2 linked regions of the Macaca mulatta genome follow. The protein of the gene in region 2 interacts with the protein of the main gene of each other region in a pairwise test. Links are inferred from orthologs where the notes say so. Each region holds a gene or a part of one and is shown on either strand. Other genes may lie near its edges.

Region 1 (7,672 bases), on a different chromosome or scaffold from region 2:
CATCATCAAAAGGATTATATCTGCCTATGGTCATAAAGAAGGGGAAGACAGAAAGAGAGAAACAAATAGAAACAGCCACAGACTACCTAAGCCCACAGAAAACTCTTAGCAGAGTTTTAATACATGAAAGTGGAGAAAGGAACATATTTAATATATTGATCCATGGATGAGAAGGTAAATAAAAAGTAGATTAGCCATCTGCACAAGAAGATAATTACAGCTGGAATTTCTTGTCTCAACACCACCCATCTGGTCTTCTCACTTGCTAGTATGACCCAACACACTGGTTGAGAAACACTTTTCTAGTCTCTTCTGTAGACTGCTTAGTGATGAACACAATATTTTTTGAGAGACCTGAAGTACAGATGTTAGTGCAACACCATCTTGGTACCAAAATTTCATTCATCAAAATGTAAATAATTTTGAATTATCCAACACTGTTGTATATCCAGTATCAACATGCTACATCTCATATTTTGATGATGCAATGTTCTAAGTCAAGACACCCAGCTTAATGAGTAAGGAGTACTTCATGAACACAGAGCTTCATTCTCACCTTTGTGCCAAAGAGAGGACAAAAATTTAATGCTAAATGGAAACGGAGCACCCCCTGGCCTCTATTAGCAGCCAAGCCCCATAGCCCAACAGCAAGGATATTATCAAGATTCATGAAGATTGAATAACAGACACACACAAGACCAAGCAGGTACTTCCAAGAGCAGCCATTTGGGACATATTCTGTGCCCACAGCTCTGTCTTCACCCTTTTAAGAGCTCTATGTCCCTGTTCCAAAAGACAGAGCTTGAGTTCTATGGGATAGAATGAGAAGACAACATTCTTTCCTCTTCTCCAAGCCAATGGAGTTTGCTGAGTGATGAAGACAGACATACTCCTTGTGTAGTTCCCTTGTCAATTATTGTGGTGTCAGCAGATTTTATGGGAGAAAGGATGAAGGAATGGACAGGCTCACTACTCAGAGCAATATTTGGATGCAATTGTGAGACTCCACTGGCACTACTTTAGGATCTGCAAGTTGAAGCAAGTTGCCCTGCTCTTAGGTAAGGGATTAACTAAATCAATTTTATCTAAATCAATTTGCACCGTTCAGATAATATGTTCATAAAGCAACCAAGTCACTCTGATTTACAGGAGTACTTCCCAGAGGTGGCCTTGCAAGGTACAACATGCCAGATGAGAATTCTAGTAGTCATGAAAACAAATAAGAGGGACACGACCACCCTTTCATGTCCCTAGCCTCTACCCATGTCCTGCACAGCCCCTCCGTGACCTAATCCTGGAGCTGCAAGTATGGAGTTTGGCCTGGAACAGGCAGGAGGCCAAAATACTGGGCTAAATCTGGGGCCTCAGCCCAATCAGCAGAGGTCCTCTGCAGATTATAGGTGCTTAATATTGTTGACTCTGCTACTAGGTGATAATTATGCTTATATAGCCATTCCCCAAATTATTTATGCCACTTTTCATTAGAAACTAACAAACTGCCCTCATATAGGCTAAAAATGGGTGAGGTTATGTCTTCAAATTAGTCTGACTCAGATTGTTAGGTTAGAGTGCATTAGATATGATTCAAGCCCCAACTTAAATGGTCATTATTACTCTGTATGCCTAGTTGTATGTATGTTTTCATTCAGTTGAACATGTATTGGAGACAAAACAGATTTAGGACCTAAGTACAATGATAAGATTTGACTCTGGGGGTGGGAGGCTAATAATGCTAAAGTAAGATTTTCAGTAAGCTAAGATTCCTACTTACACCCAGTCAATCCACTAACTCAGTAAAAGGTAAAGGAAGTGCTTTCTTTGAAAAGTATAATGTTGGCCGGCTGTGGTGGTTCGCACCTGTAATCCCAACACTTGGCTTTGGCAGGTGGATCCCTTAAGCTCAGGAGTTTGAGACCAGACTGGGAAACATGGTGAATCCTGTCTCTACAAAAAATTCAAAAATTAGCTAGGTGTGATGGTGTGTGCCTATAGTCCCAGCTACTAGGGAAGCTGAGATAGGAGGATTGCTTGAGCCAGAGAAGTCAAGACTGCAGCAAGCCATGATCACGCCACTGCACTCCAGCCTGGGTGACACAGCGAGACTTCATCTCAAAGGGGAAAAAAAATTATAATGCTGAGGGTTTACAGAACCCTTTCATCTTCAAAGGACCAAGTCAAGACTAACAATACCCAGTACACAATATTATAGCTTTTACACAAGTGCACCAACTAAGAAAGAAAAGTCATAGGAATGTCCTAAAGCCATAAGCCAATGTAACATCAGATTTGGGATGAACTCTGATCTTCTTGACTCCTGGACCTGTGTTTTAACCACTGCATTAGCTATTCTTGCATTGCCTTAAAGAAATACCTGAAACTGGGTAGTTTATAAATAAAAGAGGTAGGCTGGGCATTGTGGCTCTTGCCTATAATCCCAGCACTTGGTGAGGCCCTCAGATCGCTTGACCTCAGGAGTTCGAGACCAGCCTGAGCAATATGTCAAAACCCCATCTCTACAAAAAATACAAAAATTAGCTGGGTGTGGTGGCATGCACCTGTGGTCCCAACTACTCAAGATGCTGAGATAGAAGGATTGCTTAAGCCCGAGGCAAGACCCTTTCTCAAAAAAAAAAAAAAAAACAGAAAAGAAAAGAAAAAAAAGAAAAGAGGTTTAATTGGGTCACAGTTCTGCAGGCTGTACAGGAAGTGTGATGCCAGCATCTGCTTCTGAGGAGGACTCAGGAAGCTTACAATCATGGAGGGAGGCAAATGGGGAGCAGGAGATTCTCACATGGTGTGAGCAGAAGCAAGGGAGAAAGAGAGCTGGGGGGAAGTGCCGCACGCTTTTAAACAACCAGATCTCAGGAGAGATTACTCACTATCACAAGGACTCACAGTCAACCAAGGTGGTGGTGCTAAACCATTCATGAGAAATCTGCCCTCATGATCCAGTCACCTCCCATCAGGCCCCACCTCAACACTGGGGATTACATTTGTACATAAGATTTGGGCAGGGATAAATATCCAAACTTTATCAAACACATGAATCAAGTTGTGAGGAGCAATCAGGAGAAATCTAATTCACATTATATACCCATGTTAAGTTCATTGATTGGGCAGGAATATATAAAAATAGCAAAGACAGTTTCTCCCTCAGTACAGTCATGAGAGGAGACAGACAGGGGGATGTGAGTGTCGGGGGGGTGGGGAGGGGGAAGCTAACCATCTGGGGTAGAATGAAACCACTCCCCAAACAGAAGAAAAGTAGGGGAGGAGAACTCCCTATTCAGCAACTCCCTTCTATTGGAATATTGCCAGAGAACTGATTAGAGTACTGGGACGGAGCAGAATGGGGTTAAAGGCAGCCCTTCTGGCCCAAGTTGAGAATCAGAGGGATCAACCCACACACGGTACTTCTCTATTTAGTTTCCAATATATTCCTTTATAAGGGCTCATCCTCAGAGACACACAACCATCACCATCTATCCGCCCCACACTCAGAAATCCTCAAAAGGCAAAGTGGTTGAAGAAGTAAGATGCAGCATGGCTGGGAGGCTGGGAGGGCACAGGTTGATGGGGAAAGCCTGGGGTCCAAGGCGCTCTAGTGGGGGATTTCCATAGTCATGTAAGTGTTGTGACATAGGAAGGTGAGTGATCATGAAAACGGTAGGGGACAGTGGAAGAGACAGAGAAAGTAAAGAGTAAAACGACTCCAGGATTTCAATTTCCTGCTCTAAGAAGCAACACTTCTGAAAAATAATGTGCAACACACGAAGTGCTAAGTAACCTAAACCTTATCATCACCAGTAATATTCCTGTAAATCTACTCTGCTGTTATTTACTTAATTCTTACAAGGCAGGAATGGAAAATCCCCACTCTCCCTGGTTGCGTCGCAGTCTGTCCTGTGGACATATGTAAGTTTTCCCTCTCCCCCACAGAGCTGGTTTCACAGCTAGGCCAGAAATAAGGAACCATCCAGACGGAGACTCGAGGATCGCTCCCCTGGCAGAAAAGGGATTAAGTTTCACCGGGCCTCCCCGCCGGCAGGGCGTCCGCAGCCACGCCGGCTGCTGCGACAGCACCGCCCGGCAGACGGCCGGCCAAGGGGCGACGCCGGGGACGAAGAGGCTGCCGGCTGCGGGAGCGTGGGAAGGCGGCCGTGCCCTTTCCCAGACTCGCGCCCAGGCGCCGGAGGATTCGCTCGACTGCCCGCGCCCGGCCCGGCCCGGCTGCGCAGAGGCCTCGGCCGCCCCCGCCCCGCACCCCGGAGTGCAAACTCTGTCCCAGGAGGGCAGTGGCAGGAACCCGAGCCCCAACAGCATGACTGGGAGCCGGAGCTGATCTGGGGCCCCCGTCGCCGTCTCGAGCCTCGCGGGCCCCATCACCCTGCCCCGCCGAGCCCGAGAGCCCTCGGCTAACGCCGGGCCCCGGCGGCACCTGAAAAGCGGCCGGAGCCAGGGCCGAGCCCTGCGAGGGCGACGACGCTCGACCTCCAGGGCCGCGGCGAGGGGGCGCGTTTTACCCATAGCGTTCCCAGGTGCCAGCCATCTCCTCTGCTCGCTCGAGGGCGCTGGGCGCTCGTCTGCCTCCGCAGCGGGCTAGCTCGGGCTCCGGCGCGAGCTCCAGGGCCCCGGTCGCCGCCGCCGCCGCCGCCACCACTCTAGGCCGCCGCCCGCCTTCGCTGCAGCTGCCGCTACCGTCGCCGACGCCGCGCAGCAGCCGGGATCCGCCAGCCCGCGCGCCCCGCAGGGGATAGCACGGCGGCCGCGATGCTACCGCGGCTGGGTCTCCCGAGCTAAAGTTAAGAGTTTTCGCCCCTCAGTCCAGGGGCAGCACCATGACACCACGGCAGCACCACACTGTCATTTCCGCCGCCGCAGAGGAAAAAAAAAGGCAATCCCTTCCAAAAGGGAGGCGGAGTGGGGGCAAACGGGGTTGGGGCTGACACCCCAAGGGAGCACTGGGAAGGGCCAAAGAAGAAGGGGCGCTCGGACACCTTCCCAGGCTCACCTTCCGCCGCCCCCGCCACTCCCAGCTCCCCCAGCCCTTCCTCTGGAGGCACGTTTACATGTCTTCTCCCCTGGCAGGAGTGACCGGAGAAACCTGAGCAAGCAAAGGCAGCCGGTGGGTGGGGCTCGGGTTACTACTGTACCTACCAGCTGATTCCAGCAGCCTTTTCTCCAGCGCCCTGTCATCTTGAAGGAAGACACAGAGAGAGGGACCTGGGCGGGTGTGTGTGTGTGTATGTGTGTGTTGTGTGTGTGTGTGTGTGTGTGTGTGAGTGACAGAGCGACAGAGAGAGCAGAATGTGTGTGAAATGCAGAAGGAAGACTATGGCTAAACTCTTCTCCCACTCCCCACTCCTCTGTCCCCCAGCCCCACAAACCCCAGGTTAGAACAAGGAAGAGGCCTTTGCAACCGGTAATAAGAAGAGAGTGCCCGGGTCCACCGCACAGATCCTCTCCATGAAGCTGCTCTATGCAAAGTTAACTACAGAGTAAAACAAAAATAGTGGAGGAGATAGAAAAGGGCAGACAATTGAAGGAAACCCAACCCCTCTTTCTTTTTACAAAGAGAGAATGGCTGTGTTTTATTGGCCTCGGGCAGAAGTTGTGAAGGTGGATTAAAGCCATCAAAAGAAAAAAAAAAAGCAGGATTTTTCTTGTACCTTCAAATTGTTGACCAGTAAAACAAGAGGGTCGTTACCACAAGGACAATGAGGCAGATGCTAGCTATCCAGGTATTCCAGGTCCCTAATAAGCTAATTGGTCCATTTGGAATCCAGCATCCTCCCATTGGTCTGGAGTGACCCCCACTCAAAAGGTGGATGGGAGAGGGAAAGAGCAGGAAGCCCCATAAGAGACTCTGTTTCTAACTTGGGGCAAAAAGAGAGAACAAGGGGAAAGAAATGAGAAAATGAGAGGACCTGCCCCAGCGCGCGCGCGCGCGCGCGCGCACACACACACACACACACACACACACACACACACACACGCCTGCCATCATTGTGCATAAGAACAAGCCCAGAAAAATTGAGGTATCTCTTGGTATATCCCTTCAGGAAACCAATAGTAATCAGTCAACACTCCTGTGAAACAATGTGCTAGAGATCACTGAGGTGGAAACCAAGGCAAAAATCACAACCAGGCTGCCCTGATGAAAGTCTGGCCCCGGCCGGGCGCGGTGGCTCAAGCCTGTAATCCCAGCACTTTGGGAGGCCGAGACGGGTGGATCATGAGGTCAGGAGATCGAGACCATCCTGGCTAACACGGTGAAACCCCGTCTCTACTAAAAAATACAAAAAAACTAGCCAGGTGAGGTGGCGGGCGCCTGTAGTCCCAGCTACTCGGGAGGCTGAGGCAGGAGAATGGCGTGAACCCAGGAGGCGGAGCTTGCAGTGAGCTGAGATCCGGCCACTGCACTCCAGCCTGGGCGGCAGAGCGAGACTCCGTCTCAAAAAAAAAAAAAAAAAAAAAAAGTCTGGCCCCTAAGAGAAGTAAAAGGTAGTGAGTAACACCTAAAGTCCAGGCAACAAAAGCAAAAATAGGTAAATGGGACCATAAAACTTTCAAACATCTGCACAGGAAAGGACTCAATCAACAGAGTGAAAAAGCAACCTACAAAATGGTAGAAAACTTTTGCAAACCATATATCGGATAATGTGCTAATATCCAGAATGTATAAAGAACTTGTATAGCTCAATTAAAAAAAAAAAAAAAAAACCTCTTAAAAGTGGACAAAAGACTTGAATAGACATTTCTCCAAAGAAGATATACAAGTGGCCAACAGGCATATGCAAAGATGATCAACATCACTAATTGTCAGGGAAATGCAAGTCAAACCCCAATGAAATATCATTTCACATCCATTAGGATGGTCACTATAAAAATAAAAATTTAAAAATTTAAAAAAAAAAAAAACAGAAGAAAATACAGCAAGGTGTGGTTCACACTTGTAATTCCAGCTACTCAGGAGGGGATGCTAAGGCAAGAGAGTCACTTGAGGCCAGGAGTTAGAGATCAGCCTGGGTAACATGAAGAGAACGTGTCTACAAAAAATAAAATTAGAACAGAAAATAATAAGTGTTAACAAGGTTGTGGAGAAATTGGAACCCTTGAACACCATTGTAAAATGGTACAGACACTACCCAAGGGAATGTAAACTGGTGTAGCTGCTATGGAAAATAGGATGGAGGTTCCTCAAAAAATTAAAAATAGAACTACTATATGATTAAACAATCTCACTTCCAGGTATATAGCCAAGCAAATAGAAAACAGGATCTCAAAAAGATACTGGCAAACCCATGCTTATAGCAGCATCATTCAAGGGGTAGAAGCAAATTTAATGTCCATCAAGGGATGAATGGATAAAGAAAATATGGTATATACACACAAGGACATATTATTCAGCTTTAAAAAAAGAAGGAAATACTGTCACATGTTACAAAGTTGATGAACCTTGAGGACATTATGCTAAGTGAAATAAGCCAGTCACAAAAAGTCAAATATTCCATGATTCTACTTATATGACTGTCTAAAATAGTCAACTCATAGAAACAGAAAGTAGAATGCTGGTTGTCAGGGACTGCGAGGAGGGAAAAGGAAAGAGTTGTTCAGTGGGTGTGGAATTTCAGTCATGCAGGATGAGGGGGATGTTCTGGGGATCTGTTGC
Region 2 (6,927 bases):
GGAGGGACCCTGGCTCTGGGCCGGACTGTCCAGACTCAGACCAGCTCCACCGCCTGCGGGGTCTCGGACTGTCCAGACTCAGACCAGCTCCACCGCCTGCGGGGTCTCAGACAAGTCTGACTTTCGGTGCCTCGGTTCCCTCATCTGTGAAATGGGTGGCGAAGGGCAGAGGAGGGACAGGATCTCCCTTAGAGAGTTGTGAGGACTCGGCCGGGCGCGGTGGCTCACGCCTGTAATCCCAGCACTTTGGGAGGCCGAGACGGGCGGATCACGAGGTCAGGAGATCGAGACCATCCTGGCTAACACAGTGAAACCCCGTCTCTACTAAAAAATGCAAAGAAATTAGCCGGGCGAGGTGGCGGGCGCCTGTAGTCCCAGCTACTCGGGAGGCTGAGGCAGGAGAATGGTGGCAACCCGGGAGGCGGAGCTTGCAGTGAGCTGAGATCCGGCCACTGCACTCCAGCCTGGGCGGCAGAGCGAGACTCCGTCTCAAAAAAAAAAAAAAAAAAGAGAGTTGTGAGGACTCGCCGGGCGCGGTGGCTCAAGCCTGTCATCCCAGCACTTTGGGAGGCCGAGGCGGGCGGATCATGAGGTCAGGAGATCGAGACCATCCTGGCTAACACAGTGAAACTCCGTCTCTACTAACAATACAAAAAATTAGCCGGGCGTAGTGGTGCGCACCTGTAGTCCCAGCTACTCGGAGGCTGAGTCAGGAGAATGGCGTGAACCCGGGAGGCAGAGCTTGCCGTGAGCCGAGATCGTGCCACTGCACTCCAGCCTGGGCGACAGAGCGAGACTCCGTCTCAAAAAAAAAAAAAAAAAAAAAAGAGAGAGTTGTGAGGACTCAATGAGATCACCAAATGTTTCCAAAGCTCCACTCACAGCCAGCTCTGCTTGTTGCGCGTTTTCCCACCACTGCTATGACTAAAATGCCTTCTGATGATAACCAGTCGTCAATGTTTTCTTTTAGTCTGCTTTTAAAAACTGCAAACCTGTTTAGACAGCTTAATTTCATTACCACGAATGGGAGATTATTCAATAAAAATAAGTATGCAGTGATTAAAATAAAAACCACCGTCTTTGTGTCACTGAAATTCATGGTCTGTGCCACTGAAGGGAGATGACCTGTGTTCTAGGAGACATCAGGAGGATGATGTGAAACTCGCTGCCACAGAATCAAATGATACTGAAGATGACAGTCACAGGAATAACACTGGCAGCGGCTCCGCGTGGCAGAGAATTTCGCCTTGCCCAGGAAGAGGTTTGGCCTTTGCCCGGGGGTCCTGGGTGGCGGTCCTTGCTGGCTGGGGCCCTGGGGTAGCCACAGTGTGGTTTAGGGTGCCTGGGGCTGGCCACGCAGGAAAGCCCAACCACGTGGTTCAGCGTGGGGGCTCTGAGTTATGGGGCATCACCTGACCTGGAGACAGACCAGCCACACGGCAACACAGTCGTGTCTACACAGCAGAGCCACAATAAAGACTGAACACCACGGCCCAGGCAAGCGTCCCTGGCCCAGGCTTAAGTGCAGTGGTGCAATCTTGGCTCGCTGCAACCTCCGCCTCCCGGGCGCAAAGTATCCTCCCATCTCAGCCTCCCAAGTAGCTGGGATGACAGGCAAGCGCTGCCACACCGGGTTTTTTATTCTTGTAGAGACAGGGTGTTTCCAATCCCATTGGAATCAAGACAAAAAAAAGAGTCGGGGTCTCACTATGTTGCCCAGGTTAGTCTTCAACTTCTGGCCTCAAGTGATGCTCCCGCCTCGGCCTCGCAAAGTGCTGGGATTACGGGTGTGAGGCTGGCGGCCCTGTGTGTGCTGTCAGGCATCGATGCCGGGAGGGTGATGTGTCCTGACTGCGGGGAGAGGACACATCGCCCTCCGAGGTTGGTGACCTCTCCTGCTCCTCCTGTGTGTCTCTCCCTGTGGCTAATGTTAATCTGTTATACAGTCCCCAGCACAGCAGCCCTCAGGGGTTCCGTGTCTTTCCAGTGACGGTGGCCTTCGGAGCAGCTGCTAACCCGACGCTGCTTGTCGTGAGCTAGGCCTGCCTTGTGAGGGCCTCGTCTACATGGAGCCCTCGCCCCAACTCGTGAAGCAGGCGCTGTGCTCCCATTTTCGAGGGGAGGAGACTGAGGCACAGGGCACTCACGCCTCTTGCCCACAGTCACCCGACAGGTGTGCTGCAGAACCCTGGCTCTCACATCCCATGCTACCCTGTCCCCGGCTCCTGAGTGCTACTGTCAGCTGGGCCAGATGGTGGGGGTGGCTGCTCAGGCCGTCTGGGCAGGCGGAAGGCTCCAGGGGAGCCGGGGGAGGGGCTGTGACGCGGTGGGCTCACCGGGGGCAGGGACTGCACAATGTCACTGTGGTAGATGTAGCCGGTGTGGGGCAGCACTGAGGTAGACGAGAAGCCCGACAGCGTCTTGCGCTGGGCCCCGAGCAGCATGATGTTGCAGGCGGGCATCTTGGAGAGGTTGGTCAGGCCGCCGGCCACGCCTGCGGTGGGAGGAGGACAGGGGCGGTCAGAAGAAAGCGGGGGAGGCGGGGGTGCGCACATCTGCCTGGGGGCTCGACATGTGCCAAGCACCTTTACGTGAGGTTCTGGCTGGATTCCTCGGTGGCCCTGCCAGGCGGGCGACCTGGCCCATTCCGCGAGGGGCAGACGCAAAGGAGGCTCAGAGAGGGAGGGCAGCTGGCCTGGGGTGCAGGGAGGAGGCCCCCAACAGGCAACTGACCACCACGTTTGTGCTAAGCCACACTACCCCCATTCCAGGGATGTCTGTGTTTTGGAACCATTTTCACCAAACCAGGAGCCCCCTGACAACAGGGCCTGGGTGTGGTCATCTCTGGCTTTCCGGCACAGGGGAGGGAGGAGGAGCTGTGGGTGAGTGTTTCTCCCAGACGAGGCTTTGCTGTGTGCCAGGCTGGCTGACCTCTGTCACGTCCAGGGAGACGGGGTGTTGAGGCCCAGGTGCCAAAGTCCCCATTCTACAGAAAAGGGAAGCAGCTTCCCCCAGATCACAGTGTCAGCAGAGTCCCGCTCCATGGGACCCAGCCCAGGGCCTCACCCATGATCTTGGCGGCCGTGGACGCCCCAATAATGATGGAGAGGTTGGGCGCGATGAAGGACATCCGGGACTCCACGTACTCGTAGATGCGGTGCTTGGAGGCGTTCAGCTCCAGCGCCATGTCACAGGCCTCCTCCAGCCGCTCCAGCTCCTCCTCCGACAGCTGCTGCCTGCAGGGGCGGGTGGGCCCAGCCTCCTGGGTCTCCCGCCTGCTTGGTGCCCAGCACCCACCCTCTCAGTTGTGTGTGTGTGCACGTGTGTGTGTGTGTGTGTGTGTGCGTGTGTGTGTATGCCCACCTGCGTGGGTAGCTTCAGCCTAATCCCCAGTCCCACTGGCCCGGGCCCGGCGCCTCCCTCCAGCGGACATACCCCTGGGTGGTGGAGGCGGTGACGCTGACGACCATGATGGTGGCGTTGGTGAGGATCTGCTGCAGGTTCTCATTGTTCTTGCACTTGTCCAGGCTGTTGCCCAGCTCCTGGGCGCGAGCAGAGAAGACAGGGGAGGCTCAGGAACTCAGGAAGGCTTGAGAGCCTCTCTGGCCCTGCACCTACTCGGGTCTCTTCTCGGGGACACTGGGAAAGTCAGGGTCTCTACACTGGGGGCCTCTCCTGCCTCCACCGCCTGAAGCATCCACACCGTCTGCTCTGCTTTGGAAACGGAACCTGGGCAGAGCAGCGTCTGGGAAGACCGCGGCCTCACAAGCCTCTGCCTGTGTCGAGTCGGAGCACAAACCCGCGGCCTCGCTTCCCTGCGGGGGCTTCCCCCACCACCATCCTGATCCTTTCCCGGACACACGTGGGGACCGCCTCCTCTCCCTGCCCTCACCTGCATCCGCCCCTCTTTTCCGAAACCCTTCCTTGGCTTTCTCATAAGACCCAAAGGCTCAGTGTGATCCGACCTCTTCCGCGTCCCCTCCTTCCCCGCCTCACTTCCTCCCCGCTTGTTCCCTCTCCGGCTCTCCATACTTAACACATCTCTCTCCCCCAAATCTCCGCGTGCCTGCCCTGTGACGACCTTCGGATGTCAACTCCAATGCCACCGGCTCCGACCACAGCGGAAGCAGCGCGGGTCAGGCCAGCGGGGAAGCCCTCTCGGGAGACTGGGGTACGAGGGGAGCCCTGAGAAAGTCCCATCCAGGCTCCGTCCCTCTCACCCTGGGCAGAGCAGGCCACTGAGCCTCCGTCCACTCCTCTCCTTCACCTCCAGACCCCGAGGCCTCTGGGGGCGGGTCCAAGAGTGAGCCCTGCCTGCACCTTCACACCAGCAGAAGCACCGCTCCTCCTCTGCTCTCACCTTGACCGTGCGGATGTAATCCAGTGCATTGGGGACCAAGGACTCCAGTTCAGGGAATCTCTTCGAGTACTTATCCCGGATGAACTTATGGATGATGTCTAGGGTAAACGGGACAGGCGGGTGTCAGGTGAGACGGGAGGCAGACTCTGCTGGTTGGCCCTAACACCCACGTCCCCTTCTTCCTTTAGTAACTGAAGCCCTGGCTTGTAGCCTGGCATACGGGCACCAGCATACAGGCTCCATTTTTCAGCCGCCCTTACCGCTAGGTGTGACCAGGGGAATTAGTTCTGGTCTGTAAAATGTGAGCTGCAGTGACATGTTCTTAAAAAAAAGAAGTGCCTTGCTGGTGGGAATGCAGAGGCGACGGCTGGACGTGGGGCAGTCCCCTCGCACCACGAGGCAGGTGGCCGACCAACAAGATGGAAAGGGCTGGGGCCTTACGGGCAGCCAAGCGGCCACGCCGTCCCCGAGTGCTCGCTCAGACTCATACGCGAGGGAGCCACGCCGTCCCCGAGTGCTCGCTCAGACTCATACGTGAGGGAGAACACACTTCCTTCTTACTTACACCACTCCGTTACAGCAGGTGAACCTCGATCTGAGCTTGGGCTCAGCGGCAGGACCCTGGGAAAGGCCCGTGGGGAAGGGAGGGGGCATGAGGGGCGTCACAGGGGGCTGTCTCCGCCTGCCCCCAGCACTCACTCAGCTCGTTTTCGATCTCCACGGTCAGGTTGTTGGCATCCACGATGACGCGGTATTCAGGCGCTGCCTCCACCGGTCCCATCACTGTGAGGACACGGAGTGGCATGGGTGTGAGGATATAAATCCCTACCCCTTCTCAGGTCCCACAGCTGGGGGAGACGGAGGATGAGGCTGGGAAGGGTCAGGAAGGAGGGGCTGAAGAGTAAACCAGGGACAGGCTGACGTCTGCCTCCCAGATCCTGCAGCTGGAGGAGGCGGAGGACGAGGCTGGAGGGGGTCAGGAAGGAGGGGTTGAAGAGTAAAGCAGGCGACAGGCTGACATCTGCAGACATCCCTGAACTTGTGTTCCTGCCTCCAATCCCTCTCCCTCCACACCAGTCTAGACTTGACCCTACCTGCCCTGGAACTGACCGTCCGTCTGAAACCTCCTATGGCTCCCCATAGCCCCAAGGCTAATGACCAAGTCCCTAGACTGACATTCAAGGCCTGCCCAACTCCAGAAGCTCTGCAGGGACCAGTGCTGTGCCTGCGTTATCTACACCCACACCCGAGTACTCAGGACAGCACCTGGCACACAGGGAGCTGCCCAGTTCCTCTCTGCTGACTCAGCAACTCTGCGGTCTGGCCTCCCACCCTTCCCACCCCATCCTCTCATCCAGCCATAAAGGACTGGTCACAGTGCCCCAGACACCCACTCCTCCTGGCCTTTTTTTTTTGAGATGGAGTATCACTCTTGTTGCCCAGGCTAGAGTGTAGTGGCACGATCTCAGCTCACTGCAACCTCCGCCTCCTGGGTTCAAGTGATTCTCCTGCCTCAGCCTCCCAAGTAGTTGGGATTACAGGCGCCCGCCACCATGCCCCGCTAACTTGTTTTGTATTTTTAGTAGAGATGGGGTTTCACCATGTTGGGCAGGCTGATCTCGAACTCCCGACCTCAGGTGATCCACCAGCCTTGGCCACCCAGTGCTGGGACGACAGGCATGAGCCACCATGCAAGGCCCCTCTTGGCCTTTGCATATGCTGTTCCCTCTCCCCAGAGCATCCCTTACCCCATGTCTGTTTCTGGAAAACCCTTCTTTGTGCTTCAGTAATAAGAGGCCAGGCACAGTGGCTCACACCTGTAATCCCAGCACTTTGGGAGGCTGAGGCAGGAGAACTGCTTGAGCCCAGGAGTTCAAGAGCAACCTGGGCAACATAGGGAGACCCCATCTCTACAAATAATTAAAGAAAAAATAATTAGCCAGGCATGGTGGTGTATGCCTGTGGTCCTAACTGCCTGGGAGGCTGAGGCAGGAACACCTGAGCCCAGAAGGTCAAGGCTGCAGTGAGCTGCGATCGTGCCACTGCATTCTGGCCTGGGTGACAGAGTGAGACCCTGTCTCAAAAAACAAACAAAAAGATGTTGTGTTTAAATGTCATACAAATACTAACTGTCTGATGTCACCGCCAGTAGACAGCAGAGCTCAGACCTTACCCCAAGCAGGGTGGCTTCAGAATGTGTTCCTAACCCTGATGCTCAAAAGGCTCTTTAAGTCCTTAAGACTCCAGCAGTGACTCAGAATCCTTCCCTCCCTGTCTGGGAGGATCAGACGCCTCCTCCGTGTGCCCGCAGCACTCGTGCACCTCCAGTAAACGGGGACTGATCAGACGCGTCCTCCGTGTGCCCGCAGCACTCGTGCACCTCCAGTAAACGGGGACTGATCAGACGCGTCCTCCGTGTGCCCGCAGCACTCGTGCACCTCCAGTAAACGGGGACTGATCAGACGCGTCCTCCGTGTGCCCGCAGCACTCGTGCACCTCCAGTAAACGGGGACTGATCAGACGCGTCCTCCGTGTGCCCGCAGCACTCGTGCACCTCCAGTAAACGG

The links.
Region 1: the proteins of PRPF31 (region 2) and MID2 interact in binary tests that used the Homo sapiens proteins (3 or more experiments, as listed by UniProt). The two-hybrid records come from large-scale screens. The link is inferred for Macaca mulatta from reciprocal best matches to the Homo sapiens genes PRPF31 and MID2.

The regions. Positions count from the first base shown.
Region 1 is NC_133426.1:114,595,516-114,603,187, reverse strand, and holds the start of MID2 (putative E3 ubiquitin-protein ligase MID2), read right to left. Parts: upstream 5,159-7,672; 5' UTR 4,528-5,158; coding exon 4,524-4,527; intron 1-4,523. UniProt on the Homo sapiens protein: E3 ubiquitin ligase that plays a role in microtubule stabilization. Mediates the 'Lys-48'-linked polyubiquitination of LRRK2 to drive its localization to microtubules and its proteasomal degradation in neurons.
Region 2 is NC_133424.1:66,349,035-66,355,961, reverse strand, and holds part of PRPF31 (U4/U6 small nuclear ribonucleoprotein Prp31), read right to left. Parts: intron 5,144-6,927; coding exon 5,060-5,143; intron 4,464-5,059; exon of another isoform or gene 4,459-4,463; coding exon 4,361-4,458; exon of another isoform or gene 4,274-4,360; intron 4,172-4,273; exon of another isoform or gene 3,543-4,171; coding exon 3,436-3,542; exon of another isoform or gene 3,237-3,435; coding exon 3,067-3,236; exon of another isoform or gene 2,772-3,066; intron 2,495-2,771; coding exon 2,337-2,494; intron 2,174-2,336; exon of another isoform or gene 1,721-2,173; intron 1,262-1,720; exon of another isoform or gene 1,137-1,261; intron 1-1,136. UniProt on the Homo sapiens protein: Involved in pre-mRNA splicing as component of the spliceosome. Required for the assembly of the U4/U5/U6 tri-snRNP complex, one of the building blocks of the spliceosome.